5 linked regions of the Rattus norvegicus genome follow. The protein of the gene in region 1 binds, or shares a complex with, the protein of each later gene. Links are inferred from orthologs where the notes say so. Each region holds a gene or a part of one and is shown in the gene's direction. Other genes may lie near its edges. The genes, in order: Timm29, Timm22, Timm10b, Agk and Timm10.

Region 1 (5,999 bases):
ATGGAGTCCCAGGCACATTCTTCCTGGGAAAGGTGTCTATGTCCTACATAAGTGTTCTGCTAAGACCCCAGACTCCATTTGACTCTCTAAGTCACTGCTCACAAGTGCTGCAGCTGGGCTGATCCTCTCTTTCTGGAAATACCTTCTAAAATGCCTCAAGCACTTAGCTCTTTTCTCTGACAAAACTGTCTGTAGATAGGTAGAAGAGGCTTGGTGGTTCTCCACTGTGGGCAGGATCTTGTCCAGAGGCTTCATGCATTCCATCTTTATGTGTCACTCCCAAACTGCCCCAGGGCCCTGGGTTTACATGCTTATTTTTTGAAAATTCATACATATGACCTGGGCCTCTAGACACTTGATCTGCTCCTCGTACCTGTCCAGCTTTTCCTGTCCACCCATGGCAACTGTGTTGGTTAACTGGGTAGAAAGCTACTCCAGCCTTTCTCAGTCCTCTAGGTTGTGGGCATACTCTAGGACCAACAACCACTCTTCCTCACAGCCTCCAATGTAATGTCTGTGCCCTGCCTGCTCTTGTTGGCTTTCCAATGCCAGAGGAGATCCTGAAATCCTTCAGTAAGATCCCTTCCCACCACTATATGGGACTCATGTACTCATCCCCTACTCATGACTTCCCAGCTTCTTCCACTGCAATGACCTATGCCACTATGCGCAACTCACTTGTTTCCACCATGGGACCTAGAAGCTTTCTGGGTCCTCTTCTAAGCCTCTCACCACCAATGCCAGCATAACTCATTTGCCGACCCTACTCAGGGACCTTGCTGACTTCCCTATACCAGACAGCAATGCCACTCACCCTCTGAGTTAGCCAGACCTACCACCTTCTGCTTCCCTTCTTGGTGTCTCCCTCAACTAAACACAAGTCTGCTCTTTGTGCATGACTGCCCTGTTCAGGACCAGGCACAGTCCCATGTTGAATAATACTCCATTGATTCAAACATAGACCCACTTACCATATAAGTCAGGACGATTTCTAAGATGGTGACGCACAAAGTTGTGGCCAGGATGGGGCAGCAGGGAACCTTTGATCCTGTCCAAGACCTAGAGAACAAAACCAAGGGTCCAAAATGAGAACCCCTGCATTCTGAGAGGCATCCACTGTCTTGCCAGCACATCCTACCTGAACAAGCTGGAACACGTCACCCACTGTGAAGGTGGATTTCAGGCCTGCCACCTTGCTCTCAGCTTCCTGCAGCCTCTCCTCCCAGACAAAGTAAGGACAGTCTCCCTGTTCTAGATGGTCTCCCTCCTAATTTCCAGGATGTACCCTCTCAGAGGACCTGGTTTATTATTAGAGGTTGGTCTGACTGGGAAACATACTGCCTTTAAGACACATACCATCCACATCTACTTTGTAACCTAGTTTTTGCTTTCCAGTCCCACTATACCCATCCCATCCAAATTCAGTCCCCAAGAATAGTGGCTGAACCCCAAGAAACTCCAAGTCGTCACCACCAATGTCCAAGGCCTCACCTGGGAGGTGTCTACATCAAAAAAGCTCTGATAGTAGTCAAACGTCCAGAATCTTGGCTGTGGCTTTTCATCCTGTAGAAGCTATAAGACAAAGGCTTTCAGAACCTGCCTGCTTAGTCAGAGTAAGGACAGAGGCAGAGTATATCGGGGCCTAGGAGACTCACTGATGTTTTGTCATCCTCTTCCTCTCCTTCGGCTCCATAGCCAATGCCTGAACCCACAACCACAGCCACATGCTCTTGTGAGGTCAGCTTATCACTTTGGCTCGTGGTTGCTGCATCTGGGGTTTCTGCCAGAAGATTTGCAGCTTCCTCGAACTCTACGGAGAGGGAATATGGGCACAGGTGTTTGGAGTCTGAAAGGGCTGTGACTGCCTCACCACCCTCCCCTAAGGGCTGGGTTCGGTTTTGATGGACTGTAGATCTGCTCGTCTACTAAGATGGTGTTCAATTTAGGTCCTGTGCAGAGTTGGAGGCGGTGATTTGCCTTTTGAGTTCATGGAAGGAGCGGGAATTGAGTGCAGGATGAACCTGAGGTCTGGGACCCAACTGCTTAGGGTTCTAGCCTAGGACAGGGCTAGGAGCTCTGACCACTTCCGGGCTCCACTCACCGTGGAAGGCCAGATCGTCGGCTGCTGCCATGGTTCTTTGGAGGCGTCACTGCATCACACTCTGTGGACAGAACCGCATCAGTCCCACAGCCCTCCCCAAGACTAATGCTTCCGTCTGGACTCCTGCATGGAGCCTAACACACGGAGTAATGAAGCTTCAGCTCCAAGCTAGGGCCCTGCAGAAGCACCCCACCTTCCTCACCTGAAGCTACCTAAGCTGGCGTGGCTCTTGCTCCGTGCGCGTGCGCGCCGCTCGCCTACCCGTCAGAGCCCACCCTTCTCGACGCAACGGCAACATCCGGCACTAGTCCGTTTCCTATTGTCTTCCAGTGGGAAACTACTTCCTGTATCTTGCGCTTGCGCAGGATCTACTCTCCAGCCCTTTTCATTCCGGCACTATGTGTTTCCCCTCGACTGAGGAACCGCCGGAAAATGATGATGACAGCAGCTCTGAAGAGATTCTGGTCCCGTGGACGCAGTGAAGCGGGAGGAGAGGCAAGTGGTACCACGACAGTGGCGGTTAAGCCAGGGTTGTGGACGCGACTGGGTGAGTAGTGGCAGAAGGCTGCAGGGTGGGTGGCCCAAGTGGCTGAATCATTGTCACTGCAGCGCTTCTTTCCCCTCAGGCACCTGGTCCCGCGCGCTGCTTCGGGATTACGCCGAGGCGTGCGGAGACGCGGCGGCTGCTGCGCGAGCTCGACCCGGCCGCGCGGCCCTGTACGTGGGGCTGCTTGGCGGCGCTGCTGCGTGCTGTGCGCTGGCGCCCAGTGAGGCGGCATTCGAGGAGGCCTTGCTTGACGCATCAAGTTCTCTCTTGCTGTTGGCGCCGGCCACGCGCAACCGCCACTCGGAAGAGTTCTTGCAGCGCCTGCTGTGGCTGAGGGGCCGCGGGCGGCTGCGTCACGTGAACCTGGGGTTCTGCTCGTTGGTTTACGAAGCGCCCTTCGACGCCCAGGCCAGCCTCTACCAGGCCCGCTGCCGCTACCTGCAGCCACGCTGGGTCGACTTCCCCGGTCGGGTCCTCGACGTGGGGTTCGTAGGCCGCTGGTGGGTCCTGAAGAACCGCATGCATGATTGCGACATCAACGACGACGAGTTTCTCCACCTGCCTGCGCACCTGCGCGTCGTCGGGCCTCACCAGCTGCACTCAGAGGCCAATGAGAGGCTGTTCGAAGAGAAATACAAGCCGATCATACTCACCGTCGATCAGGTGGACCAGGCGCTGTGGGAGGAGCAGGTGTTACAGAAGGAGAAAAAGGATCGGCTAGCTTTGAGCGAGGCTAATTCACTAGTTCAGTCCGATGTTTCCAGGTGAAAAACGAAGGGTGCCCCCAGGCGCAGGCAAACTGTTGGCCACAGATGGTGCAGTTGGTGAGATGGGTAGAGATAAATGACCCTCGTTGTGATTTTGTGGGACGTTCTAGCTCTGTCTGTCCTGTTTGCCGAAGCTAATTGGGAGCCTTACTGGTCTTAGAGATACAGAAGAGCTGAAAGACTGCTTTCGAACATGAAGCATTTGACCTTGTGCTTACCGCTGCAAGATCTACTAATAAGGAACCTTTGCTGTGTAGCCTGTTGTTGCTGGGGATGGACTTCAAGGGTAGAGCATTTGCCTAGCATGCCTGGGTTCCTGGCTTGCATTTCCAGCACTGCAAAAACAGAACAAAAATGGGCTTTTGGTTTTTGGGATTTTGTTTATTTGGTTGCTTTTTGAGGCTCCCATATGCCCAGTCTGGCCCTGACTACTCCTGTATCAGCTCTAGTGCACAACAGTGTACACAACAGTGTAGTCCAAGATTGGGACTAAAGCCATGTGCCAGCATGCCGGCCTCGGGGTTCCCTTTTCACCATGTGCCAGCATGCCGGCCTCGGGGTTTCCTTTTCAGTTGTAGCTAAAATGTGTGTGTTGGGTTTTTTGTTGTGCTTTTTGGTTGGTTTGTTGCACTGGCTTCCCCAGAACTGGCTATGAAGAACAATCTTCCCTTAAACTCCCAGAGATTTGTCTGCTTCTTAAATTGGATTTTTTGGGTTTGGTTTGCTTTGTTTCTGAGAAGTGGTCTCACAGCCCAGACCAGCCTCAAACTCACTGTGTAGCACAGGATGACTGAACGATGGGTCCTATTGCCTGCACTTTCCACATGAAGTAAATGTCTCTGTGACGTGGTTTGTTATTGTTGGGTACTTGTGCTAGGCAGTAAATCCAGGGGCTTGTACATAGTAGGCAAGCACTGTACCCCCAGTCCTCTTGGAGTTTTTGTTTTGTTTGATAATCTCCTTATGTAGTCCTTGAGGACCTTTGACCTAGCTTGTCTTAATTAGTAACGTTGTATATTACTGTCAATGCAGGAGATAGACACAGAGGCAAACAAATTCTACTGTATGTGTGTGTGGCAGTGATTGCAAGCATTGTGGAAAGCTGGAATATGTTCCAATCCCAGAACATACATGTAGTCACATGCCATACTGCAGGGACCCTGGAAACGGTTGGAGAGGAACAGGGTGGGGCATATATGTTGGACCTAGCAAAGTTCTGGTAATTACCTTTCAAGCTAAACTATTAGGGAAGCAAAACTGCCCATATCAGGTGGACTGTGACTAGTCAATAAAAGCGGGAGATGAAGCAGTCATCTTTGTCTTGGAGTCTTGGATTTGTTTATGGTGGGAGGGCTTCACACAGACTAAGTATGTACTCTACACTGAGTTTCCCCCAGCCCTGGTAGTGTGTTTTGCCTCTTTCATTCATTATCAGGTGTATTGAATATATGGTAGTTCTTTTTGGTTGGTTGGTTTTTCAAGACAGAGTTTCTCTTTGGAGACTTGGCTGCCCTAGAACTCAAGAGATTCCCCCACAGTCTTAGCTTCCTGAGTGGGAGGATTAAAGGTGTGTGCCTCCACCTCCTGCATACAATAGTGCCTGAGTCCAAGTCTCCTGGCCAGAGGATGATGTTAATTCAAGTCTTCCTGACTGGTGAGGTGGCTCAGCCAGGGAAGACAGCCCCAACCACCTGAGTCCATGTTCTGGAACTCACACAATAGAAAGAAAGAACTAACACCTCCAAGTTGTCCTGTGACCTCCACACACACAAAACAAATTAGAATGCAATATGGGTTCCAAAAAAAAAAAAAAATCCACGTGTGAATTACAATGTGTTAATTAGTGTATATTAGTGGCGGTTCATAAGATTCACTAAAGCATTTACTAAAGCATTTCTTTTTTTTTTTTTTTTTTTTTCTTTTTTTTCCGGACCAAACCCAGGGCCTTGAACTTGTTAGGCAAGAGCTCTACCACTGAGCTAAATCCCCAACCCCTACTAAAGCATTTCTTATGTGTGTGCAAAGTGTTTTTATTCACCCCATTGCTGTTTCTTGAAATCCACTCCCACTTATATGCTTCCTCCCTTCCCAATTAGCACCAGAGTATGTGTGTGTGTGTGTGTGTGTGTGTGTGTGTGTGTGTGTGTGTGTGTGTGTGAGTGTGGGGGGGGTTGGTTGAGACTGACTCAATGTGTAATCCTGGCTGGCCTAGAACAATATAGATCAGGCTGGCCCTGAACTAACCTAGACCTCGCCTTTACCTCCCTAGAGCCAGCACTTACATTTGAATGTTATGTGTGTGGATTTAAACATGATTACAACCTCATGGAACTGTTTCCAGTCACTAACCATACCAGTGAGGAAATTTCTCTCCTTCCTCCCTTCCTCCCTTCCTTCCTCCCTCCCTTCCTCCCTTCCTCCCTTCCTCCCTTCCTTCCTCCCTTCCTCCCTTCCTTCCTTCCTCCCTTCCTCCCTTCCTTCCTTCCTTCAGCAACTGTTACTGACACACAAATCCCCATAGTGGAGAGGGCCCTTCCAGTCTTGTGGAAATCTTGTACAGGTGATCACCACAGCAGCTAGGGGC
Region 2 (6,044 bases), on another chromosome or scaffold:
CCCTTTCTCTGCCTCTTTGTCGCATTCAGGCTTCCGAAGGAATGAATGAGATCCACTCACAGGGGGAGGCTACTAGCTTTAATCTGTCCACCAATCTAACTCAAATGTTAATCTGACCCAAGAGACCCTTCACAGCAATACCCAGAATCAAGCTGAACCAATGAGCTGAGATCTCCATGAACTACTCAAATGATTCATAAAATTAACCGTTGCGAGTCTGTCCTTTGTCACTGTGGCACCTGCATGTCTTCCTTACATCAGACTAAATCTTTGAATAAAGAGGGTAACAAACTCTTGAGTCTACTCGATGTGAACAACGCCCTCTTCTGACCTCCTCAGGCACCAGGCACACACATGGCCCACAGACATACATGTGGGCAAAACACATATAAAATAAAATAAATAGGGCTGGAGAGATGGCTCAGCGGTTAAGAGCACTGACTGCTCTTCCAGAGATCCTGAGTTCAATTCCCAGCAACCACATGGTGGCTCACGACCATCTGTAATGGGATCTGATACCCTCTTCTGGTGTGTCTGAACAGCTACAGTGTACTTATGTATAATAAATAAATAAATCTTTTTTAAAAATTGGAATCACGCTGGCTTGTTTTTTAAAAAGTCTTAAAATATTTTAATTTGGACCATCAGCATTCTGTTATGGAACGGAAGAGAATCTAAACAAGAAAAAAAAACACTTCATGTATTTGTTTGTTTTGAGATAAGGTTTGCTATGTCATCCTAGTTAGTCTGTAACTTGATAAGTAGACCAGGCTAACCTCTAACTAAGAGAGATCGATTAGCCAGCTTCTGCCTCCCAAGTGCTTGGATTAAGGGGTGTGTACCACATCCAGCGCTCTTTTCTGGCCTTCACAGACACCCACGCTTGCACACCCATGTGTGTGCACACACATACATAAAAAAAACAGGGGTTGGGGATTTGGCTCAGTGGTAGAGCGCTTGACTAGGAAGCGCAAGGTCCTGGGTTCGGTCCCCAGCCCCGGAAAAAAAAAAAAAAAAAAAACAAAACAAAACAAAAAACAACTCTCCGGCAATGTTGGCATATAGGAAATGTGATCCAGGAATATTGGACCACTCACCAGAAACAGGCTAGAATCTGAGGATCTGTCACTGAGCAGCCCAGAAAATCTTTTCTTCTCAATGAGGAAATCACAGATCCACTACTAAGGCCAGGATCAAAAAGAAGATGTAATAGGAGCAACATTTTCTAACACTTGGCCATTGACTGAGGTACAAGAATGGCATCTAGAAATAGGATGGTTGGTGATCAACGCCTTTGATCCCAGCACTCAGAGGCAAAGCAAGGCAGACCTCTGAGTTTGAGGCCAGCCCGGTCTACAGAGTGAGTTCCCCAAGAAGCCAGGGCTACACAGGGAACCCCTGCTTCAAACAAACAAACAAACAAACAAACAAACAAGGATGGCATCTAGAAAGAAATGAGTTTCAAAAAGTTCAAACTTAGCTCTCTAACACTAAAAACCACAAAGCATTAACGATTCCAAGTTGCCTGGTGTAGTGGCACACGCCTTCGATCCCAACACTCTGGAGGCAGGCAGATCTCTCCAAGTGCACCACCACACCCGGCAACTACCAGCCATGGGGTTTGACATCTTCCATTGTTACCATAGTCGTATGCCATTAGTACCCTATGCAATACTCTGTACTTGGTCTCTCTCTCTCTCTCTCTCTCTCTCCTCTCCTCTCCTCTCCTCTTCTCTTCTCTTCTCTTCTCTCTCTCTCTCTCTCTCTCTCTCTCTCTCTCTCTCTCTCTCTCTCTCTCTCTCTCTCTCTCTCTCTCTCTCTCTCCTTAATGGTTTCTCTGTGGAGCCCCAGCTGCCCTGGAACTCACTCTGTAGACTAGTAGGCTGGCTTCAAACTCAAGAGATCTGCCTGTCTGGGCTTTAAGGCGTGCTAGACCACCACTCACATTTGTTGGCCTTCTTTATTCTTCCTTAAAGGCTTAATAAATATGTAATAAAATGCTTTTTGAACACATTTATGTCATGTTTCAACACTTTCATACAAAGGGCGTACATTCGATCTCAGAATGTAAACCAGTCTGTGGTTCTAGTGACTGTAGTAGCTGGAGCTCTGCTTTATGGCCTGGCAACAAAGCGGACACGTGCGTCCCCTGCTGCAAGTTCGACGAACTGCAGCCTAACAGGATCCGACTTCTCTTCGGCCGCTTCTCAGACGAGCTTTCAAAGGAAGTAGCAAAGCCAGCGAGTGCGCACGGCTTTCTGGGAAATACAGTTGGACATTCGAATTAGAACTACAAATCCCGGCACGCACCGCAATGGAGCCCCTAGTTGAGGGGTGTTCTTGAGCTACTAAACCTTGTCAGAGTTTTTAGCAATGCCTTACAAACTTGGTTCACTGTTTAAAGAGGCGTTGAGGAAACGTGATAGCTTCCTCGACGCTGATGCAAAGGCTGACTCTTGCTTCTACAGCTTCCTCAGTGTGGCGAATCTGCCGTTGTCGTTAGGCTGGCCGGACTCCTCGGTTAGCATGTGGAATCGGCTGTGGGAAATACGACGTGAAAGGTACTAGAGCCCGTACAGTCATGGCGGCCGCCAAGGCTGGGGCTTCAGCTCCTGAGGCGGCGGGTTCCGCCGAAGCTCCGTTGCAGTACAGCCTTCTTCTTCAGCACCTGGTGGGCGACAAGCGTCAGCCACGGCTTCTGGAGCCTGGCAGTCTGGGCGGGATCCCGAGTCCTGCCAAGAGCGAGGAGCAGAAGATGATCGAGAGGGCGATGGAAAGTTGCGCCTTCAAGGCTGTGCTGGCCTGTGTGGGAGGTGAGGCGAGGCTTGTGGGACCCTTGGGAGGCTGAGGGCTTGGAGAACTTTAAGGTTCCTTGCTAAGACCACGCGCCTGGGAGGCGAGGAACCTGTGCATCTCGACCTTGATCGCTCCCGGGCTGGCTGACTCCTTGAACCCGGAGATGCCGCTCTTGACCCTGAGATTAACATTCACAGTCAGGGTCTGCAGGTTCCTAAATTGTTGCTTTCTTTTCTTCGTTTTATTCGTTCGTTCGTTCGTTCGTTCGTTCGTTCGTTCATTCATTAAGTTGTTACTATGTAACGGTCAGGTGCCCGGCAGAAGGAATATGGATGAAAGCGACAGGAGCCCTGAAGGAGAATATTAGGACGCAAAGAGAAGAATGCTGTAGAGTTGCAAATGCAAAGGTCCTCAAGGCAGGAGTTTGGAGTTTGGAAATTATTACTGGGTGATGGTGGCCCAAGCCTTTAACCCCAGCACTGGGAGTGGTGGTGGTGGGCAGAGACAGACAGACAGGGAGGACTACATAGAGACACCCTGTCTCAGAATTAAAAAAAAACAAAAACAAAAACAAAAACAAAAAACAGCGAAGGCCAGTGTGATTAGTCGGGGTGAGGCTGGGATGGATGTTAACAACACACACACACACACACACACACACACACACACACACACACATACACATATTAATCTTCCAGGGTTTGAGAATGTACAGCATACTTATAGTGTACAGGTAAAAAGGTTGTTTATTTGTAGATGAGTTTAAATTTCGTTAAGAATGAAGAACATTTTAAAAATACAGGAGTTCAAATCTTAAATAGTGGGGAGGAAGAGGCAGTCAGATCTCAAGAGTTCCAGGTCAGCCTAGTCTATAGAGTGAATTCCAGGAAAGTCAGGGCTACATAATAGAGAAACTGATTCTTTTTTTTTTTTTTAAGACTTATTTATTTGATGTATATGGATACACTGTAGTTGTCTTCAGACACACCAGAAGAGGGCATCAGATCTCATTATAGATGGTAGTGAGCCACCATGTGGTTGCTGGGAATTGAACTCAGGACCTCTGGAAGAACAGTCAGTGCTCTTAACCACTGAGCCATCTCTCCAGCCCTGAGAAACTAATTCAAAAACCAAAACAACCAGGCTGGAGAGATGACTCAGTGGTTAAGAGTATGGACTGCTCTTCCAAAGGTCTGAGTTCAACTCCCAGCAACCACAGGGTGTCTCACAACCATCTGTAATGGGATCTGATGCCCTCTTCTGGTGTGTCTGCTACAGTGTACTCATATACATAAAATAAATAAATAAATAAATATTTAAAAAATCAAAACAAACAAATAAGTAGAAAGAAGAGATAGAGTTTTGGAGCTGAAGTGATTAGAAAGCAAGACCAGGAGAGGAGGGGTCTAGCTTCATTGAGCTTACATTGATCTTGAGGTGATCATCTTGAAAAGACATCATACAGAAATGGCTGGGGAGAAAGCCCAGTTGGTAAAGTGCTTATCATGCAAACATGAAGGTCTGAGTTCAGAACCCAGCATCTATGTAAAAAAGCCAGGTATGGCTGGGTGAGGCTATGGGGCCTTTAAGCCCAGCACTGGAGAGGAAGAGGCAGGATAGCCAGGGCTGTTACACAGAGAGACCCTGTCTTAGAAAACAAACAAACAAACAACAACAACAAAAAGAAATTGGTGGGTAATTCCTGAGGAATGGCACCCACTCTGGCCTACACTCACAGACAAAAGAAGGCTCAGACAAGGCATTTGTTGACAGAAACATAGGATTCCATGTTTAATATTCATGTGACTCTGAAGACAGTTACTTAACCTCTCCAGGGTTTGGTTTAGAGAGGCAGGGTGGATGGTGGTTTCAGAACCTTTAATCCAAGCTCTTGGGAAGCAAAGGCAAATGAACCTCTGGAGTTGGAGCTTGCCTGTTCTACAGTGTCAGGTTCGAGGCCAGCGGGATTATGTAGTGAGGCCCTCAAACAGAAAAGCCAGGAAGGGGAGATAGTAACATCTACCTCACAAGTTACTATGAAAAATAAGGAATATTCCAGAGTAGCGGGGACATGATGCTTCCTTACTGAGTGACTGTATGAGTGTTGTTACAGGTCATATACAACGTTGGTAGCTGAAGAACAGGGTTAAAGCTGAAAGGCATAAATCCTAGAGGAGTTGTGGGGGTAGACTCCGACTGTACTGTGAGGAAAGCCGGATCAGGACCGAGTGCCAAGAGACCAGAAAGGCCATCTTCAGTTACCATCCCCAAATGGTAAACTAGAGAATGTGCAAAAGAACTCTTATCTCTGCTTACCTCTAGGATTTGTCTTGGGAGGCGCATTTGGTGTCTTTACTGCTGGCATTGATACCAACGTGGGCTTTGACCCCAAGGACCCTTACCGGACACCAACTGCAAGAGAAGTCCTGAAGGACATGGGACAGAGAGGAATGTCCTATGCCAAAAATTTTGCCATTGTGGGTGCCATGTTTTCCTGTACTGAGTGTCTGGTAGAGTCTGTAAGTGCCTCTTGCTTCTTAAGAAAGCTCTTCCTGTTGCCCTTGTACACTTTTTAATTATCTTTTTTTTTTTTAAATCATTTAAAAACGCTTGGGTGTGTGTGTGTGTGTGTGTGTGTGTGTGTGTGTGTGTGTGTGTGTGTGAATGTGAATGTGAATGTGAATGTTTTACCTGCTATGTATGTGCATCATGCGTGTACCTGGGGCCTGAGGATGCCAGAGGAGCGTATCTGGTCTCTTAGGACTGGAGTTACAGACAGTTGCTAGCTGCCATGTAAGTCTAGAGAATTGAACCAGGGTCTTTCTGGGAGAAAAGCCAGTGCTCTTAACTACCAAGCCATCTCTCCAGCCACACACCCTCCTTTTTTGAAACAGGGTCTTACAGTGTAACCCTGAATGGCTGGAACTCACTAGATCCTCCTGTCTATCTCCTGAGTGCAGGGATGGGATTAAAGGCACGTGCCAGCACACCCAGCCCATTGCACAGCTTTTAAAAAGAGCGGTGTTCGAGGTGTTCCTTCAGAATGCTATCAGAAATGTGGTCCATATTTGCAGCTTTAGCACTCAGGAACTGAAGCGGAGGATCATGAGATCTGGACCAGGCTGGGCTGGAAAGACCTTGCCTCAACACAAACATTTAAAAATGTCAATTTTAATCTAGATTGTTCATCCAAAAAATAGTCCCTAATGTGAACTTTTTACATATTATGTGGATTTTGCACATTTTTA
Region 3 (4,865 bases), on another chromosome or scaffold:
AAATCTCTCTGATAACAGCTGCTTTGTGCACTGATTGGAATGGGGGTGGGGGGATGGAGGTCAGAAATCTAAACTCCACCCCACAAGGAACTACTCCAGCACCCCCATTCTCTTAGTCATAGCAAAGACTGTAGATTAAGACCCAGGGAAAGGGAAAAGGGCCCCATGGAGAGTTTCTGAGAAGAGGTGCTTGAATCTTACCTTATATGTGTTGATGCCCCATTTCTTGACAATGTCAAACTTTTCTCCAGCGATGCCTCGGGCCACCTCATCACCAGGGCCAGAAGGTGAGGTGCTGTGAGACGGATGGCGGCCAGACCCTAAAGGACCAAGTTCTCTGACACTAGTTTCTCTTAGATATAACCAGACACTTCTGTGGCCCACTTCCCTTCCAGCACATGAAATGACCTTGCTGAAGAAGGAAAATCTAGACAGACAACTGCATTCTTCTGCTTACTAGGGGGAACAAGGACTTGTGTCCTGACCACCAAACCAACTCAATGCATGTATCTGGCATTCTTGGGATAGGGTAAGAGTGTTGTTAGTGTACTCAAGAAGAAAGAATAGAAGCTATCGTGATATGTGTGATTGGCAGGATCAAAGATGGTGGGCACAGAAAACAAGGAAGTTGGCTGATATTTCTAGGTAGAATTCTAGTCAGTGTAACAGTCTAAAATGAAAGTCTGAGAAGCCTCACAAAGCTCCAACTTGGCCTTAAGCTCCTGAGTGCTCATAACCTCAAGGTCTTAACTTGGCTCAGGTGGTGGCGGCAGGGAGGAAAAGACAAATGAGATTATCTTAGAGACTAAGTGGCAGGGGGGAAGCAGATGGGCAACTCTGGAGCTGGTCTGGGACTGAACAGGCTATGAACTTCACACTAGCAGTTCTGAAGCTCTTCAGTCACGAGTCAAGCTTTACTGTATGTGTCCTATGTGCCGGCAAGCTGCCTTAACAGCCCCCATCCCCACCCCTCAAGCCTGTCTCTATCACTCATACCTGTGGGGATGAGTCCGTCACCAGAGCCCCCATAGCCACCAGACACAATGCTAGTTTCATTGAGGTTGGGTCCTGACACCATCACCTGCTGGAGGTCCTATAGGTCAGAGAAGAGGGGGCACCTCAGGAACACAGGGATAGATGAAACATTTGGGGATGGAGGCAGTGCACATAAAGTTTATACAGAACCATAAAGATTTGAAAACTAGGAAGGAGTTTAGTTAACTGAAGGCTATTGGGATGGGGGAAAGTAAAAGGTTTATAAGTCAGGACTGCATAATGAGACAATTAGAAGAATCAAACAGAAGCACCTGCTCCAGCCCATCGTCTTCAGGAAGCTGCCCAGCCTCGCCATTTCCGTGGATGGGAATCTCCATTGTGGCTGCCTTCCCTAGAATCCCGTCCGTCATGGCTAGGGAAGGGACAGGAGTCAAGGTCTCCACCCCAGCACGCTGTAAAGCCCAACAAGACAATTCTGGAAACTAGCCAGCACTCCAGAATAAGGAGGCCTCCCCTGTGTTCTCAGAGGTTTCAGGGATTGTCTTAGGGCTTGGGTGTCCTGGGATCAGCCACCACGTCTTTCCTTGAGTATGTGTATCCATTCTCTTCTGAGTACATTATTTCTACAAATGCATGCATACCAAAGCCTCTGGTGTCTTCTCGTAACCCCCAACCTCGCCTTTAGTAACCATTCATGCATTCAGTCATTCAACAAACATTTGGTGAGTTTCTACTATGTGTGAGATACCGAGGCAATGGAATTGCAGCAGTGAGGACCAGAGGGAAGGTCTATGCTCTCTGGGAACTTAACCCTGCATAAGCATGTTTACCAAAACTCTTTCCTAGGCTCAGACGTTCACTTGCCACTCAGGCATGCTCTGCGATCCTGATCTTTCACATCCTTTGGTGTTCCTTCCCCTCTTCCTTCAGATGGTCTGGTCTCTTCCTTTCTCCATCTCATGCACCTGACTCCCTCAGGCCCTCCCCACCAGGCCTTAGTTGAAGCAGTTAGTGAATGTTCCTGGTGTCAGGACACCAGGACACAGGCAATCCCTTCCAAAGTCAGTTGAAGCCTTCCAGATGTGAGAGGCACCCCCCACCCCCATACACCTGGGCATCAGGTGTGTCCTCATCCTTGCCAAGGGCTCAGGGCATGTTGCCCTCAGTACAGGTTCGTGCGTTCAACTTCCCTTCGTCCAAGTACGTCCTTCTCACCTGGGCCGGGCCGCTCTTCCCCTCAGGGCGCGAGGCCCGGACCGCGCGGGGACCTCGGGTTCCAGTTCCCGTCGCGATCCTAGCAGCAGGTCAGAGATTTGGCGGAAGTGACATGCTCTCTGGGCAGAAGAAGCCGGCCACGTCGCAGAGAAAAAGGGCGGAGGTGACGTTTACAGTTGTGGGCAGGGCGAGCCTGGAGCTACGCCTTCAAGCTCTTGGGGGAGTACCGAGAGTTTACTTCCGGGGCGACTCCGAGAGCCACCCCCTCCGGACGGAAGTGGCGTACGCCATGCGCCCTGGGCGTGATGGAGCACCAGCAGCAGCAACTGAGAAACGTGAGTGAGAGCTAAGTTGCTCTCTGGGTTAGACGCGCAGTTTGTTTCCAGGGGTACACGCAAGAACCCCCAGAGGGGGAGGCGGGCTGCGCGCCCCAGGAAGCCTCGGCGGTGGTGAAGTCTTGGTTCCTTTTTCTCTCAGTTGCGAGACTTTCTGTTGGTCTACAATCGGATGACAGAACTGTGCTTCCAGCGCTGTGTGCCCAGCCTGCACCACCGAGCTCTGGACGCTGAGGAGGTGGAGACTGTGGGGGGTCCCAGAGTTGACAATAACGTGATGTGACTTACCCCCTCCCCCCACTTCCCCTCTCTTTCATGACCTCATTCCTAGGCTGGGGACCGGGAAGGATGGAGGAGGGCTTGACAGGACCCCTTTTAGTTTCTACTTCCATCTGTCTTCCTTCCAGGAGGCCTGCCTGCACAGCTGTGCTGGGAAGCTCATCCATTCTAACCACCGCCTCATGGCCGCTTACGTGCACCTCATGCCCGCCCTGGTCCAGCGCCGCATGGCGGACTACGAGGCTGCCTCTGCCGTGCCAGGTGTTCCTGCAGAACAGCCCAGAGACTCGCCATCAGGCAGCTAGCTAGCTGTCCCTGACCGCAGGAGAGAAGGTGCTTGGATAGGCTCCTCTATGGACCTTGGGCTTGTCTAAATATGTACAGAGAGACTGAGCTTGAAAGCTGGGTGCTCTTGCTCCTTTTCTTGGAGCCAATAAACCCGTTTTTGTATTCTGGTTAATTTACTTGGCAAGAACTTTTCTTTATTGGTACCATCCTTTATTCTGTCATCTACTGCCTGTCTAGTGCCTTTAGCCTTGGCAGTTGATGTATTACCTTCTTGTATGTAGAAGGACAAATTTAGCATTCCCAGCACCCCAGCAAAAGCAAGGATTATGGCTACAGTTTGAAGGTTGGTAATAACAATGGGAAATTGGTTCCAAAAGGAGAGTTCTCTGTGCCTGTCCTAGGGTCTAACTCAAGTACCTGAATATACATTGGCTCTTAACTAGTTTTTATTCTCAGCTGTCAGACAAAAGAATTGCTGTAGATCTAGGGGAAGAAGGTAATATCAAACAACAAAAGCAGGAAGAAAACAGTGCCCCCTTAGGTTTTAGTCACTGCTTCCTAGGAGATCAGTGACAACAGAACAAAGACAAGCCTCTAAGAATTTAGGAATGTTGACCATTTCCCCAATTTACTCTCTTAGTATTTCCTGCTTTTGTGAAATTAGAAATAAAGACTTTAAACAAAGAAGGACTTTCTTGTCTTCAGTCAGTCAGGAAGACAACATTAGTCAAACCTCAAGAGAAACCTGAGGGAAAGGGAGATGGTATTAGGGAGAGATGGTTAAATACCATCTGTGACCCTCCACCCGGTGCTTCCTCAGTGTTTCACTGCCTGTCTAGTCCCCTAGTTTCAGTTCTCTACCTTCCAGTACTCTAACTACCCTGTTGCCAGCTTCTCTATTCTTGTTTCATTATTCCCCCACCCCCTTTTGTGGGATTCACGTCTATACTCCGGAGGAGTCCTTTCCTGGCAGCTGCCATTTCCATGACTTCACTCCTAATGTGGAGATGGGGAAAGGAAGGAGGATATGGCATGCACCACCACATGGGGCTTCTGGGGCTTCGAGGATAATACAGCCTGCAGGGCAACAGCATGGGGTCTGCACCTATTACTGTTTCCCAGAAGATTAGACTCAGGCACTTGTGCTTGCCTGGTGTGAACTCTAAACAACTAAGCTACCCACTTCCCCTTCACTGCTTCCTGAAATCCCATCCCATCCCCTCCACCATTGCAACAGGTGGCCAGCTTTCATTTTTTTTTTTTTTTTTACAAAGGAATCAAATTCACAGTGAAAACCAACCATTCACAGAGCAGATTCTCTGCCCTCCCCCCACCTACAGGTCAGAAATTTGCGTTTATTTATTTATTTATTTTATTTATTTACTTTGAGTTATGGTCTCATGTACCCAAGACTGACCTGGAAATGGTAACTAAAAATGACCTTGAACTCCTGATCCTCCTGTCTCTACCTCCCAATTGTTGGCCAGCCAAAAAATTGAAAATCCCAGCTGACTCCATATTGAAAGGCTAATCATGTTCCAAGGCTTGTTATATGTGCCTGCAGTCATAGCACTAACAGGCCAAGCATTGTGAGTTTGAAAGCGTTCTGCGCTGTTATATCAAGACTCTTATCAATAAAGTGAGCTGGGACATCAAGCCTGATAGTCTTTGCACTACAGCAGACTACTCTAAATGATGTCTGTTGAGTTGTTTTGTATAAATTTATCATACTCTTTTTAATTGCAAAACTAG
Region 4 (5,299 bases), on another chromosome or scaffold:
GCACAAGCTTCACAGACCCTCTGGCCTCAGGACATAATCATATGCCAGAGAAAAGTGCAGTGGATCCGTGGCGTGACAGACGGCAGGGGAGAAATGTGGACAGGCAACCCAGGAACAGAGGAGGGCCTCCTAAACTTGACAGAGGATCAGAGAGCTTTCATGAGGGAGGTGGCATTTATGCTAAATTTAGAACTGGATAAAGGGCACTTGGGATAGAGACGTGGACTGTATGAAGCCACTGTGATAAACCATGGTCATAAATTCAGGCTGGTGCAGTAGAATGTGTGCAAATGGATCCAGAAGGGAAGTATGGATGTACTCAGATCTGCATTGTGGGAAAATTGGCCTCAATGTGCACAAGGAGGTGGGCATGCCTAGTTGTAGGCAAAGCCCGCAGATATCAGATTGACAGAGTCATCCAGTGATCAGGAAAGAGCAAGTGCTGTGGTCTAGAGTAGGGTTGTTAATGGCGGAGTGCTACTGGAGTAAAATTCTCAGAAGCTTGAAGAATATTAGATTGGCAGATTTCTAGTCTGAGGGACTAGAGTTGGGTAACTTCGTTTTGTATTAATGTTGATGATGGTAAGACCAAGTTTGTGGAGGAAGATGAAGTTTTGGTTTGTGTGTGGTGAGTGTAGCATATCTTTGGTTCAAATATGTGTAGTTACAGTTGTGATTCTGTCTGGAACTCAGAAAGAGGCCCTGGGATGAAGAAATGTGTGTCCATGTTTTGAGGATATTGAAAGTGCGGGTTTGTAAATAAGAATTGATGGGGGGCTGGGGATTTAGCTCAGTGGTAGAGTGCTTACCTAGGAAGCGCAAGGCCCTGGGTTCGGTCCCCAGCTCCGAAAAAAAAGAACCCCAAAAAAAAAAAAAAAAAGAATTGATGGCCAGGAAAAGCACAAAGGACCGTAAACATTTAGAAAACTAGAAGAAAAAAAAAAAAACAAAACTGTGATGGTACTAAGAGAAAAGTCAAAAGAGAGCCCCAACATATCAGCCAATCAAAGAGGAATTTCAGGAGAAAGAAAGTACAAGTTTTAGGAAGTAATGGGAAGAGTCTAAATGAAAACTGGAGGTCGTCTTCTGAACGGGGAGCTGCCGAAGGTTTCCAGTACGAAAAGGGAACTGTCTTTGAAATTGGGAGTTGCCAGAAGTTTGTCAGGTTCCAAAGTAAGAGGGTTAGATTATAGCAAAGAAAACTAAGAAATACATGGTAGGTGAAGAAACGGAGACAGTTAAAGGACGTGATGGGGCACACCTTTAATCCCAGCATTCAAGAGGCAGGAGCAGGGGAATTTCTGAGTTTGAGGACAACCTGGTGTACAGTGTGAGTTCCGGGACTCCAGGGTTGTACAGAGAAACCCTGTCCCGAAAAACAAAACAACGAAACAAAAAGAAAAACAAGAAAAAGGAAAAAAAAAGAAAGAAAAACACAGACACTCAGGATAGACTGTCTTCTCTTCAGGAATCTTGACTTGAAAGAGGAGAAGACAGAAAAGGTAACCTGAGAGAAACAGAAGGCAATAGAGCAGTGGTTTTTTTTTTTTTTTTTTTTTTTTTTTTTTTGGTTCTTTTTTTTCGGAGCTGGGGACCGAACCCAGGGCCTTGCGCTTCCTAGGTAAGCGCTCTACCACTGAGCTAAATCCCCAGCCCCGAGCAGTGGTTTTTAAGAGAGCAAATGGCTGTGTTTTTACATGCACCAAAGCAGGAGTAGGAAGTGAAGAGAAGGGAGACAGACAAGATGACTGAGGTGTTAAACCCACACAGGTACAGAAGGCTGGAATCCAGGGCGCTTGCACAGAGGAAGGGCTTCCTTTGTCGCTGAGACAGGAGAGAAGTAGCGGTTCGGTCCAGACCAAGGTTGACAATGGAGAGATTTAGGACTTTCTCCCTGGTGGACCTGACATTCTTTGAAGACAGTTTGAAGCTGTGCTTCTGAAAATGAAGCAGGAGGACAGGTGGTAAAGGTGGCACAGAGTATTTAACTGTAAGAGTCAAGAGAATCTGTGCCAGAACCTGAGAGTCTGTGGTATTACTGATAGGCTCCCCAACTCAGCAGTGTGACTCCCCCACCCAATAAGTGTCAGGCTCTGATTCAGGGATCCCTCCCTCCTTCTCTTTCTCTCTCTTTCACAGACACACACACACACACACACACACACACACACACACACACACACACACACAGACGTAATAATAGTAATAATAGTAGTAGTAATAATAATAATAGTAATAATAGATAAAAATGTATCGTACAGATATCTAGTGTGAGAATGCTAGGCTTTGAAGCAGTGAAGAGGCCTTAGGCTGCATTTGCATTCTGTCCTCTAAATGGAGTCTGATGGCAGCAGTGAAGTAGGTGTTTGATGCAACTGGTTTCATTACATGTTTGTGTGCCGTCTGTAAATTGATGTTTATCATGGGGCCACTCTGCTCACTCGTGTTCATTCCTATTGTGGATAAGTAAGCGTGAAGAGGAGTTGTCAATTCAATTTGTTTTTCTCTGTGTCGTATGTTAGGGGACATAACAGAGACCATAGTCACTATGTTCATGGTTTTTAAGGCAAAATTGAAGCCTTCATTTTTCCACATGGGGAGAACTCTGTTTATTGAAGAGACAAATTATTAGAATTCTGACCTTTGCAGAGCAAAGCCCCCGTGTTAGGAGTTATGTGTGCGTGATGAAAGCTATTTTCTTCTTCATTAACAGGAGTGGCCTCAGACCCATCAGGCCTCCATCTCTTACACGGGCCCTACAGAGAGACCTCCCATTGGGCCTGAAGATGCTGCTCCCCGGCCTTCTCTGTACAGGAGAATATTACGTAGGCTTGCCTCATTCTGGGCACAGCCACAGGATGGTGAGCAACATGGTGACTAGATTACAAGCCCTGTTCAGCTTAGAAGTGGCCTGGAGTGGACACCCAGAATCAGTACTAGATAATCATTTGGTGCTGGAGGAGCCAGTCCAACCTTGTTGAAGTCAGACTCCTGGGTGCTGTCAGGGCAGGCTTCAATGTCTTATCACTAGGTGCTGCAGTTCCTGTACTCTTTGTCACTGACATCTGTGCTATTGTGCTGCTGTCGGTGAGGATGCTTTAGGCAGAGAACCTGGTGTTTATCCCTGTGTATCAGAAAGATGAAGTAAAGTTTAGAGTTGGACAAAGGGCTGAGGAAGCTGACTACCAGCAGCTCAATACTTTCTCTCTCTCTCTCTCTCTCTCTCTCTCTCTCTCTTGCTCGCTCGCTCGCTCGCTTGCTGTGTGTGTGTGAGCGCGTGCACGAGTGCGTGCGTGTATGTGTCTGTGTGTTGGGGTTGGTGGTGTTGTAGTTGGGAGTGAGACACAGAGAGAAATGTTAGTAGAAACACTGGCCTATGTCTGATGGATTTCCACAGCCTTCTCCCCAGAGGTGAGCCCTGAGGTCTGGAAAGATGTACAACTGTCCACCATTGAACTGTCCATCACAACCCGAAACACCCAACTTGACCTGACGGTAAGTGGACTCATTTTTATGAATTTGGTGTCTGGAGAAACAGTGGCAGGTGCTTTTCTTGCACTAATTAGTTATTTTTCTACTTTACCCTGTGGGCATAGAGATGAAAGGATCAAGGAAAGGGAGGGGTAGTGTGCCTTTGAGTAACAAAGCACTGAGAAGTGGGAGCTGAGTGCATCGGGACACAGGAGCTCAAGGCTCTCGGAACACACATTTTCTTCATGATTGGGTGGCCCGGAGGATGCAGACGGAAGCTTTAGAAGTGAAATGTTAGAGAGAAGCTGAACATTCACTTGAGTAAATATGCATTATGTTTTGACTATATTAAATACATAGACTCAGACTCCCCAGGACACACAGATCTATAGCTATACATGTGGGGATCCTGTTGAGATAGGATCTTGCTACATGCTACAGGATAGCCTCAAACTGTGGTCTTCCTGCTTCAGCCTCCCACATAGTCGACTTACAGGCTTGTGTGCCACTTGTGGCCAATGTGATTTAATTTGGATATGATCTGTAGACATGGACTGTCCAAAGCTATTTGTCATATGTGGCTATTCATATTACGTGGGTTGAAAGAGAAGTTTCTCTGTCATGTCAGGGCTCTACAGCTATATGTCTTGCTGTCATATTAAACATGCAGATGAGAGTTTCCAGCAGTTTAGACAATTCCACTGGCCAGTGCTGCTGTAGATAGTTCACTAAAATTACCAGAAAACACAAGAAGGCAAATAAAACAAACCCTACTATATGCTGCCTTTATATTGCCTATAAGCAAAGAATTGATTTTCTAATTTTAAATGATGGAAAGTTAAAAGAATGATAGCTTATGGAACATGAAACATGTGGAAGTCACATTCCAGAATTTGTATATAAAGCAATATTGTAAGAGGAATGCAGTCCTTTATCTGCATTTCTCCTGTGGCCCTTGCACTGTGGTAGAGGGGACAGAGTAAAAGAGACCATGTGGCCCCAGCCCTAGATGTTTGCTATTTGGCCATTTTTAGAAAAAGCATACTGAGCCTGGAAAGGAGAAAACTTTAATTACTTCCGTTAACAGAGTTCCAGTGTAGGTCTTTCTCACTGTGGCTAATTACTATAACATATTCTGCTTTTATGAAAACCTGAGTAGTCTGTTCACTGTTACGCTGGCCAGTCCGAGAACTGGGAGGTGGAGCTGCAGGGTAGTGGGAAGGCTAATGTCTGGAGTAGTATTGACTTGTTTTCTGTTTATGCAAGTAATTTGCATCTCCTGTAAAATATTTGCAGATATTTTACCTTCTGAAATAATTCCAGTTGAATTAATGAACTAAACTCAAAATAATGAAAATACTTAAGTATTAAGTAAAATTTAAATGATTTTAAAATTTACTTAAGTAAAATTTAAATGATTATCAGTATAAAGTAGGAAAGTACAAAGGAGCTTTTCTAAGCATGACACCTAAGGCAAATTTTATATTGATGCATTAAAAAGATAAACTTCAGAATGACAATTGGGGAGAATATTAGGATGTGGCAGACAAGCCATTATTAGCTTTCCTTATCACAGACTCCTCAACTAAATCAATAAAGAGCGAACAGAGACAATATTAAACAATGGGCCAAAGGCTAAAAATAGAAAACCACAAAGGTGTGGGTTGGGGGTTTAGCTCAGTGGTAGGGCGCTTGCCTAGCAAGCGCAAGGCCCTGGGTTCAGTCCCCAGCTCCGAAAAAAAAAAAAAAAGAAAAAAAGAAAAGAAAGGAAGAAAACCACAAAGGAAAACATTTAGGAAAAATAGTTCATATTTATTACATGTTTATT
Region 5 (6,033 bases), on another chromosome or scaffold:
GAATTGAACTCAGAACCTCTGGAAGAGCAACCAATGCTCTTAACCTCTGAGCCATCTCTCAAGCCCCCTTTTTCCTACTCTTAAGTAGCCTCTTTCTCTCTGTGCTATTCTCAGGAGAGTTGGCTATATCCTATCTCTGACTCATTTAGCCAGATCTTTCTCTGAGCCATCACTTTGTCCCTCAATTAGACATCACTTTCAAACATGTCTGCTTTCTTCGGCAAACTAACTTTACTTTCATTGTTTGGGATTAAAGGTATGTTTGGGACTAAGGGAATGTTAAAGGTATGTCACTCCAGTCAGATCACAGAGACTTGGAAGGTCTTTGATAGGATCTCCTGCCAAAGCAACCATGTTGCTGGGTTAAAATTCTTCTACAGTAAAAGAAAGACAGGGCCACATAGCAATAATAACGGTAGCACCATTGTCAGCAAAAGCAATGATTTTCCAGGGTCTGAAGGGAGGGGAAGTAGGAAGTTGTTCAGTGTGTGTAGTTTTAGTTATGCAAGATAAAGGTCTTCTAGAGGTCTTCTGTGCAATACAGTGCATATAGAGAATAACACTATCGAGTACAAGTAGAGTGTCTTTTGTTAAATGTTCTAAGTACAGTAAAAAGATCCTTCTGAGAAGTTGGGGAAAATACTTGCAATAGGGCTGGGAAAATGGCTCAGGTGGCGAAAGAGCTTTCTTTGTGGTAGTAAGGTCCTGATTTGAGATCCCTAGAACAAATCTAACGTCAGACATGGTGGGATGGGTCCACAATTCCAAGACCCTATGGTGAGATGGGAGGCAGAGACAGGAGCATCTCTGAAAGCTTTCAGGCCAGCTAGGCTGGTATAGGCAGCAGCAAACACTAGATCTTGTTTAAACATGGTTAAAGTTAAGGATGGAAACCTGAGGTTGTCCTCTGACCTCCAAGCACACAATTCATTCTCTCACACACAAACATAAAAAGATAAATAAATTTTAAGTTGTCAATAGATTACATTAGGAAATAAGTGGGCTGGTGAGATGGCTTGCTGATATAGGTGATTACCCCCAAGCCTGACAGCTTGGGTTTGATTACTCTGAACTCCCATGATGGAAGGAGAGAATCAGCTTCTACCAGTTGTCCTTTGACCTCCACAAGCCCTTCGATTCCACCATGGGTGCATGTTCTTATAAATAAATTTAAATTTAAAAATAGTATGTCAAATGAACTGTATAGTTCAGTTATTGAGTGTTTGCTTACAATTCCTTCAGCACCGTGGAAGAGAGATGAAAAAAATCACTATTAGCTGAGAATGTGAAAATAGCACTTTGGAAAAAAGACTTCATCTGCTAAAGACAAGAATAGATCAAGAAAATGCGACTAAATATCAAGAATTATTAAATTGGGGCTGGAGAGATGGCTCAGTGGTTGAGAGTATTGACTGCTCTTCCAGAGGTCCTGAGTTCAAATCCCAGCAACCACATGGTGGCTCACAACCATCTGTAATGGGATCTGATGCCCTCTTCTGATGTATCTGAAGACAGCAACAGTGTACTTATAATAAATAAATAAATCTTTAAAAAAATATTAAATCTTGGTGTTCCTCATCATTTCTCCTTGCTTTCACTGATGACTCTCTGGCCCAGATCATCTCACACTGTACCAAATCACCAATGAAGTTCATTAGACTGTGTTCTCTGTGTGTTGCAGATTTGCCCTAATAAAAATAGTTTTAAAGGATAAAGCCGCAAGGCCCTGGGTTCGGTCCCCAGCGCCGAAAAAAAGAACCAAAAAAGGAGATAAAGCCAAGGGGTTGGGGATTTAGCTCAGTTAGGTAGAGTGCTTGCCTAGAAAAAAAAAAAAAAAAGAAAGAAAGAAAGAAAGAAAAAGAGAAGGATAAAGCCAATAATTCTTATTGTTACATTTATTTTTTTATTTATTGTGCATGTGTATGGCTATGATAAAGAAGTGCAGTAAAACATGCTGCAGCGCTGGGGCAGTTGGTAGAGCGCTTGCCTGTAGCATGTGGTCCTACTTCCATCCCAGCACTGCAAAGTTCAGGCATAACGGCGCTCATCTGTAACCGCAGCCCTAGTGAGGTTGAGGCAGGAAATAAGTTCTAGGTCATCTTCGGCTACACCGCAAATTAGAGAGCCTGGGTTCCATGAGACCCTATCTCAAAAGCAAGCACAGAAGACCTCTATACATGTTTCCTTTTTCTGCGAGCAGCGATTTTGTATCCTTCTTTCTGCAACCCCACCAGTTAACGCAGTTTGTTCATTTACTAAAGTCTGGGTCCTACTCCCTGGGACTCTGATTTCACGAGTATGAGGTAACGTCTGGGCGTTGAGGTTTTTAAAAAAGTGCTCCAGGTGGTTTTAACATGCAAAACTGACAGGCTCCTTTGGGAAACGTTCTCCCTTCTTCACAAAAGATCCGTCTGCGCTCAGGCGTGGGCTCTCCATGGTAGGCTCAGGGAGCCAAGCCTTTTCCACACTCCAAACACTCAGAAGTCTCCCGGACAACCAGAGGGATGGAACGCTAACAAGGCTGTCGGCGCTCTGCCATTGACTCCGCACTCTATGATACTTTGGAGTCCACTCTAGCAAATTGAAGTAGGTTTCTCTTCAGCCAGTGGCTCCTCTCTATGGTAGCCGGTTTCCCAGAGCCGCCTGGTTTGCGTTTTCTTCCGGATCAAAGAAGAGGTTAGACTTCCTTCCGGAAGTGACCCACGTGCTTCTTATTTCGCCTATCTTGGTACCCGGTTAACTTTTTACTATTGACCCGAAGTTGGGGGCGTTGCGGGAGCTGTGACCTACCCCAGGCCGTGGTGAGTGAGCCATGGTATCTGATCCCCAGGCTGACCCTGATTATGCCATTGCCATGACAGAGGCGCAGCCTTTAGACCGGCCCTGGGAACCTATGTTGTGGTTAGGGTCACATTCTCGGGGCTGCGTGGGTTCAGGCCCAGGGTTTTGTGTGCTCTGCCCCTAATGTCGGTCCTCTGGCTAGGAGTGATTTCGAGATACTGAGAGCTCTCGGTTTCCAGCTCCGAGCCCCATGACATCTTGAGTGACCTTGAACTGGACACTGTCCCCTTTAAGGGCCTCATTTCCACTTCTGGTAAGAGGGCTGACTACGTTTTCTTAGGGTACTGGTCCCTGCTGGTCTGAAACGCTGTAACCCCTCGCGCCCTCCAGCCCCTGGGTGGGTATTAGAGTGAATGTGGAGGGGTCGGTGCTGACTTATCATGTACGCTCCCAGGACTAAAGACCAGGAGGCTATTTTCTCCACGGTGCTAAGTTGACATGGATCCGCTCAGAGCCCAGCAACTGGCAGCGGAGCTGGAGGTGGAGATGATGGCCGACATGTACAACAGGTAAAGAGAACCACTCCGATTCACCTTGTCCAGAAAACTAGCCCTCGTCACCCCTACCGCGATAGAGTGAAGGACTTGTAAGGAATGCTTTCCCTAAGGTAGTAGAGCCAAGTCCCAACCTCCTAATCCCGTCCCACCATTACTGCGGGCTTGGCTGAAGTAAAGACAGGTCACTGGAAGGACTTGGTTGGCTATTTAGAGGGAGTAAAAGGGGTGTGAAGGAAAGTCTCCTGCTCAGGCTCTGCTGAGTATCAAGTACAAGTAAGCACTGCCTTTTCTTTCTTTTCTTTTCTTTTCTTTTTTTTGGAGCTGGGGACCGAACCCAGGGCCTTGTGCTTGCTAGGCAAGCGCTCTACCACTGAGCTAAATCTCCAACCCCTCTTTTATTTTCTAATAGCCCATTTTATTACCTTTGCTTCTGTATTTTGTGTTTATTTATGAATGCCAACATGCATGCTATAGCAGCTCACATGTGGAGGTCAAAGGACAACTTACTAGGATTCCATCTTGGATTGAACTCAGATCTTCTGGTTTGGCAGCAAGGGCCTTTGCCTCCTGAGCCATCTGAACAGTCATTTAGTAGTTAATAGTATTTAGTAGCTAGTACTTATTAATTTTTTTCTTCCTTTTTGGGGGAGAGGTGGGGTGAGCGTTTTTGTTCTTGTTTTTCAAGATAGGGCGTCTCCGTGTTGCCCTGGTTGTTGGCTTGATCTGTATAGAGCAGGTTGGTCTCACTCCCAGAGATCTGTCTCTGTCTCTTGGGTGCTGGGATTAAAAGTGTGTGCACTTGATCCTTATTAAACTTTATCTCTGTGTTAGGCACTTGCAAAGCATTTTATATACATTGTCACTTTAAAATTTTTTTTTTTTTTGGTTCTTTTTTTCGGAGCTGGGGACCGAACCCAAGGCCTTGTGCTTCCTAGGCAAGCGCTCTACCACTGAGCTAAATCCCCAACCCCCACTTTAAATTTTTTTAATTTATTTGTTTTATATGTATGTATGTTTTGCTTGCATGTGTATATACATGTGCATCACATGCCCTCAGAGGCCAGTAGAGGGCATCATATCTCCTGGAACTGGAGTCAAAGATAGTTGTGAGCTGCCATGTGGGTGCTGGGAACCAAACCCAGGTCCTCTGCAAAACAGTAAGTTCTCTTAACTACTTTCCAGACCCCCATTGTCATTTTTGTAAATACTTAAAAATAATTCAAAGGGAGAATGGGGTGGAACATAGGATGTTTGTCTAGAATGTAGGAAGCCCTTGGTTTGATCTCGGCATGGTGGGTGCCTATACTCAGAGATGGAGGCCAAAGCCAAATAGTTGAATGAATGAATGAATGAAAGAAAGAAAGAAAGAAAGAAAGAGAGAAAGAAAGAAAGAGAGAGAGAGAGAGAGAAAGAGAGAAAGAGAGGAAGGAAGGAAGGAAGGAAGGAAGGAAGGAAGGAAGGAAAGAAGAGCAGTGGGTTAATTTTATTAGTACCATTTTAACATAGGGGAATTGAGGTATTAAGGGGTTTACTAATCTCAGGTTTTGTAGCTGGTCAGCAACAATGTCAGGCCAGAACTTGAGGCTGACTTCACAACTACTGCTTGTAGCTGTTAGGCCAATTTGGAAGCATCCTGGTATGCCAGTCACTGCTGAATGTCTCATAATTGCTTATCTCATCAGTAAAACTGGCATAAGAGGTGCTATGCCATACAGACATTACAGTATTATACTTTATCATCTAGCATATCATACAGGAAACAGCAGGTATCTGCTGGTTTTTGTCAGCAGCTCTTTTCATTGATTGGTTTGTTTTTGAGACTATAAATTAGAATGGTTTTTAAAATGCAGACTGTGCAGTCAGACTACCTAGCTTTGTGTGATATTTAGCAAATTACTGAGCTGTGTCTTAATTTCCTCATCTGTAAAGTGGGGATAATGATTGTGCCTACCCCACTGGGCTACTGTGAGGGTTGCCTAACAGAGTCTGTATTAGCCCTTAGCATGATGGCTGGCACACAGCCAGTATTCAGCAAGTGCTTCTGCTTTAACTAGTCTTGTACATGACTCAGAGAAGATTCTTATTGGAAGAACCTTCCAAACTGGTTGAAGAAAAGTTTCTTTTCTTTTTTTAGGTTTATTTATTTAATATATACACTGTAGCTTTCTTCAGACACACGAGACACAGGAGAAGAAGGCATCAGCTCTCATTACAGATGGCTGTGAGCCACCATGTGGTTGCTGGGATTTGAACTCAGGACCTCTGGAAGAGCAGTCAGTGCTCTAACCGCTGAGCCGTCTCTCCAGCCCTCTACTGTTTTCTTGAGGGAGGAACCAGACAAGAATCAGTCCAGCAGGGTTGGAATTGTTGAAGGTTCCCGGGATGCTGTAGGAAGTTACTGATACAACCTTGTTCTTCTCTAACCCAGAATGACCAGTGCCTGCCACCGGAAGTGCGTGCCTCCCCACTACAAGGAGGCAGAGCTGTCCAAAGGCGAGTCTGTGTGTCTGGACCGATGCGTATCCAAGTACTTGGACATCCATGAGAGGATGGGAAAAAAGTTGACAGAGTTGTCTATGCAGGATGAAGAGCTGATGAAGCGGGTACAGCAGAGCTCTGGGCCTGCATGAGGCCCCGGGCCATGTACACCCGTGGTGCACCTTGCCACCTCTGATTAAAGTGTCCCTAATGGATG

What was found.
Region 2: Timm29 (region 1) and Timm22 share a complex: the UniProt entries of both Homo sapiens proteins name them as parts of the TIM22 complex. The link is inferred for Rattus norvegicus from reciprocal best matches to the Homo sapiens genes TIMM29 and TIMM22.
Region 3: Timm29 (region 1) and Timm10b share a complex: the UniProt entries of both Homo sapiens proteins name them as parts of the TIM22 complex. The link is inferred for Rattus norvegicus from reciprocal best matches to the Homo sapiens genes TIMM29 and TIMM10B.
Region 4: the proteins of Timm29 (region 1) and Agk are in contact, whole or in part, in a cryo-EM structure (PDB 7CGP), measured with the Homo sapiens proteins. The link is inferred for Rattus norvegicus from reciprocal best matches to the Homo sapiens genes TIMM29 and AGK. Residues at the interface, in NP_612367.1 of Homo sapiens: Tyr145, Gln146, Cys149, Arg150, Tyr151, Leu152, Gln153, Arg155; in NP_060708.1 of Homo sapiens: His33, Asn36, Arg39, Arg40, Cys43, Gln44, Gln47, Asn51, Lys82, Pro86, His89, Leu90.
Region 5: the proteins of Timm29 (region 1) and Timm10 are in contact, whole or in part, in a cryo-EM structure (PDB 7CGP), measured with the Homo sapiens proteins. The link is inferred for Rattus norvegicus from reciprocal best matches to the Homo sapiens genes TIMM29 and TIMM10. Residues at the interface, in NP_612367.1 of Homo sapiens: Asp181, Asp183, Ile184, Asp186, Phe189, Leu192, Leu196, Arg197, Val199, Gln203, Leu204, Ser206, Asn209, Glu210, Leu212, Phe213, Asp214; in NP_036588.1 of Homo sapiens: His30, Arg31, Lys32, Cys33, Pro35, Pro36, Leu43, Ser44, Lys45, Gly46, Glu47, Ser48, Val49, Arg53.

What each region holds. Positions count from the first base shown.
Region 1 is NC_086026.1:28,419,072-28,425,070, forward strand, and holds Timm29 (mitochondrial import inner membrane translocase subunit Tim29), read left to right. Parts: upstream 1-2,298; 5' UTR 2,299-2,533; coding exon 2,534-2,648; intron 2,649-2,727; coding exon 2,728-3,416; 3' UTR 3,417-5,268; downstream 5,269-5,999. Other genes in the region: protein YIPF2, read right to left, coding at 972-1,059, 1,492-1,572, 1,656-1,810, 2,102-2,132. UniProt on the Homo sapiens protein: Component of the TIM22 complex, a complex that mediates the import and insertion of multi-pass transmembrane proteins into the mitochondrial inner membrane.
Region 2 is NC_086028.1:61,749,117-61,755,160, forward strand, and holds the start of Timm22 (mitochondrial import inner membrane translocase subunit Tim22), read left to right. Parts: upstream 1-2,569; 5' UTR 2,570-2,581; coding exon 2,582-2,813; intron 2,814-5,118; coding exon 5,119-5,315; intron 5,316-6,044. UniProt on the Homo sapiens protein: Essential core component of the TIM22 complex, a complex that mediates the import and insertion of multi-pass transmembrane proteins into the mitochondrial inner membrane. In the TIM22 complex, it constitutes the voltage-activated and signal-gated channel.
Region 3 is NC_086019.1:169,389,860-169,394,724, forward strand, and holds Timm10b (mitochondrial import inner membrane translocase subunit Tim10 B), read left to right. Parts: upstream 1-2,495; 5' UTR 2,496-2,516; coding exon 2,517-2,546; intron 2,547-2,688; coding exon 2,689-2,784; intron 2,785-2,953; coding exon 2,954-3,130; 3' UTR 3,131-3,797; downstream 3,798-4,865. Other genes in the region: Arfip2 (arfaptin-2), read right to left, coding at 1-30, 202-320, 997-1,093, 1,308-1,406. UniProt on the Homo sapiens protein: Component of the TIM22 complex, a complex that mediates the import and insertion of multi-pass transmembrane proteins into the mitochondrial inner membrane.
Region 4 is NC_086022.1:70,146,833-70,152,131, forward strand, and holds part of Agk (acylglycerol kinase, mitochondrial), read left to right. Parts: intron 1-2,713; coding exon 2,714-2,861; intron 2,862-3,397; coding exon 3,398-3,495; intron 3,496-5,299. UniProt on the Homo sapiens protein: Lipid kinase that can phosphorylate both monoacylglycerol and diacylglycerol to form lysophosphatidic acid (LPA) and phosphatidic acid (PA), respectively. Does not phosphorylate sphingosine. Phosphorylates ceramide.
Region 5 is NC_086021.1:90,312,425-90,318,457, forward strand, and holds the start of Timm10 (mitochondrial import inner membrane translocase subunit Tim10), read left to right. Parts: upstream 1-2,714; 5' UTR 2,715-3,279; coding exon 3,280-3,350; intron 3,351-5,766; coding exon 5,767-5,968; 3' UTR 5,969-6,033.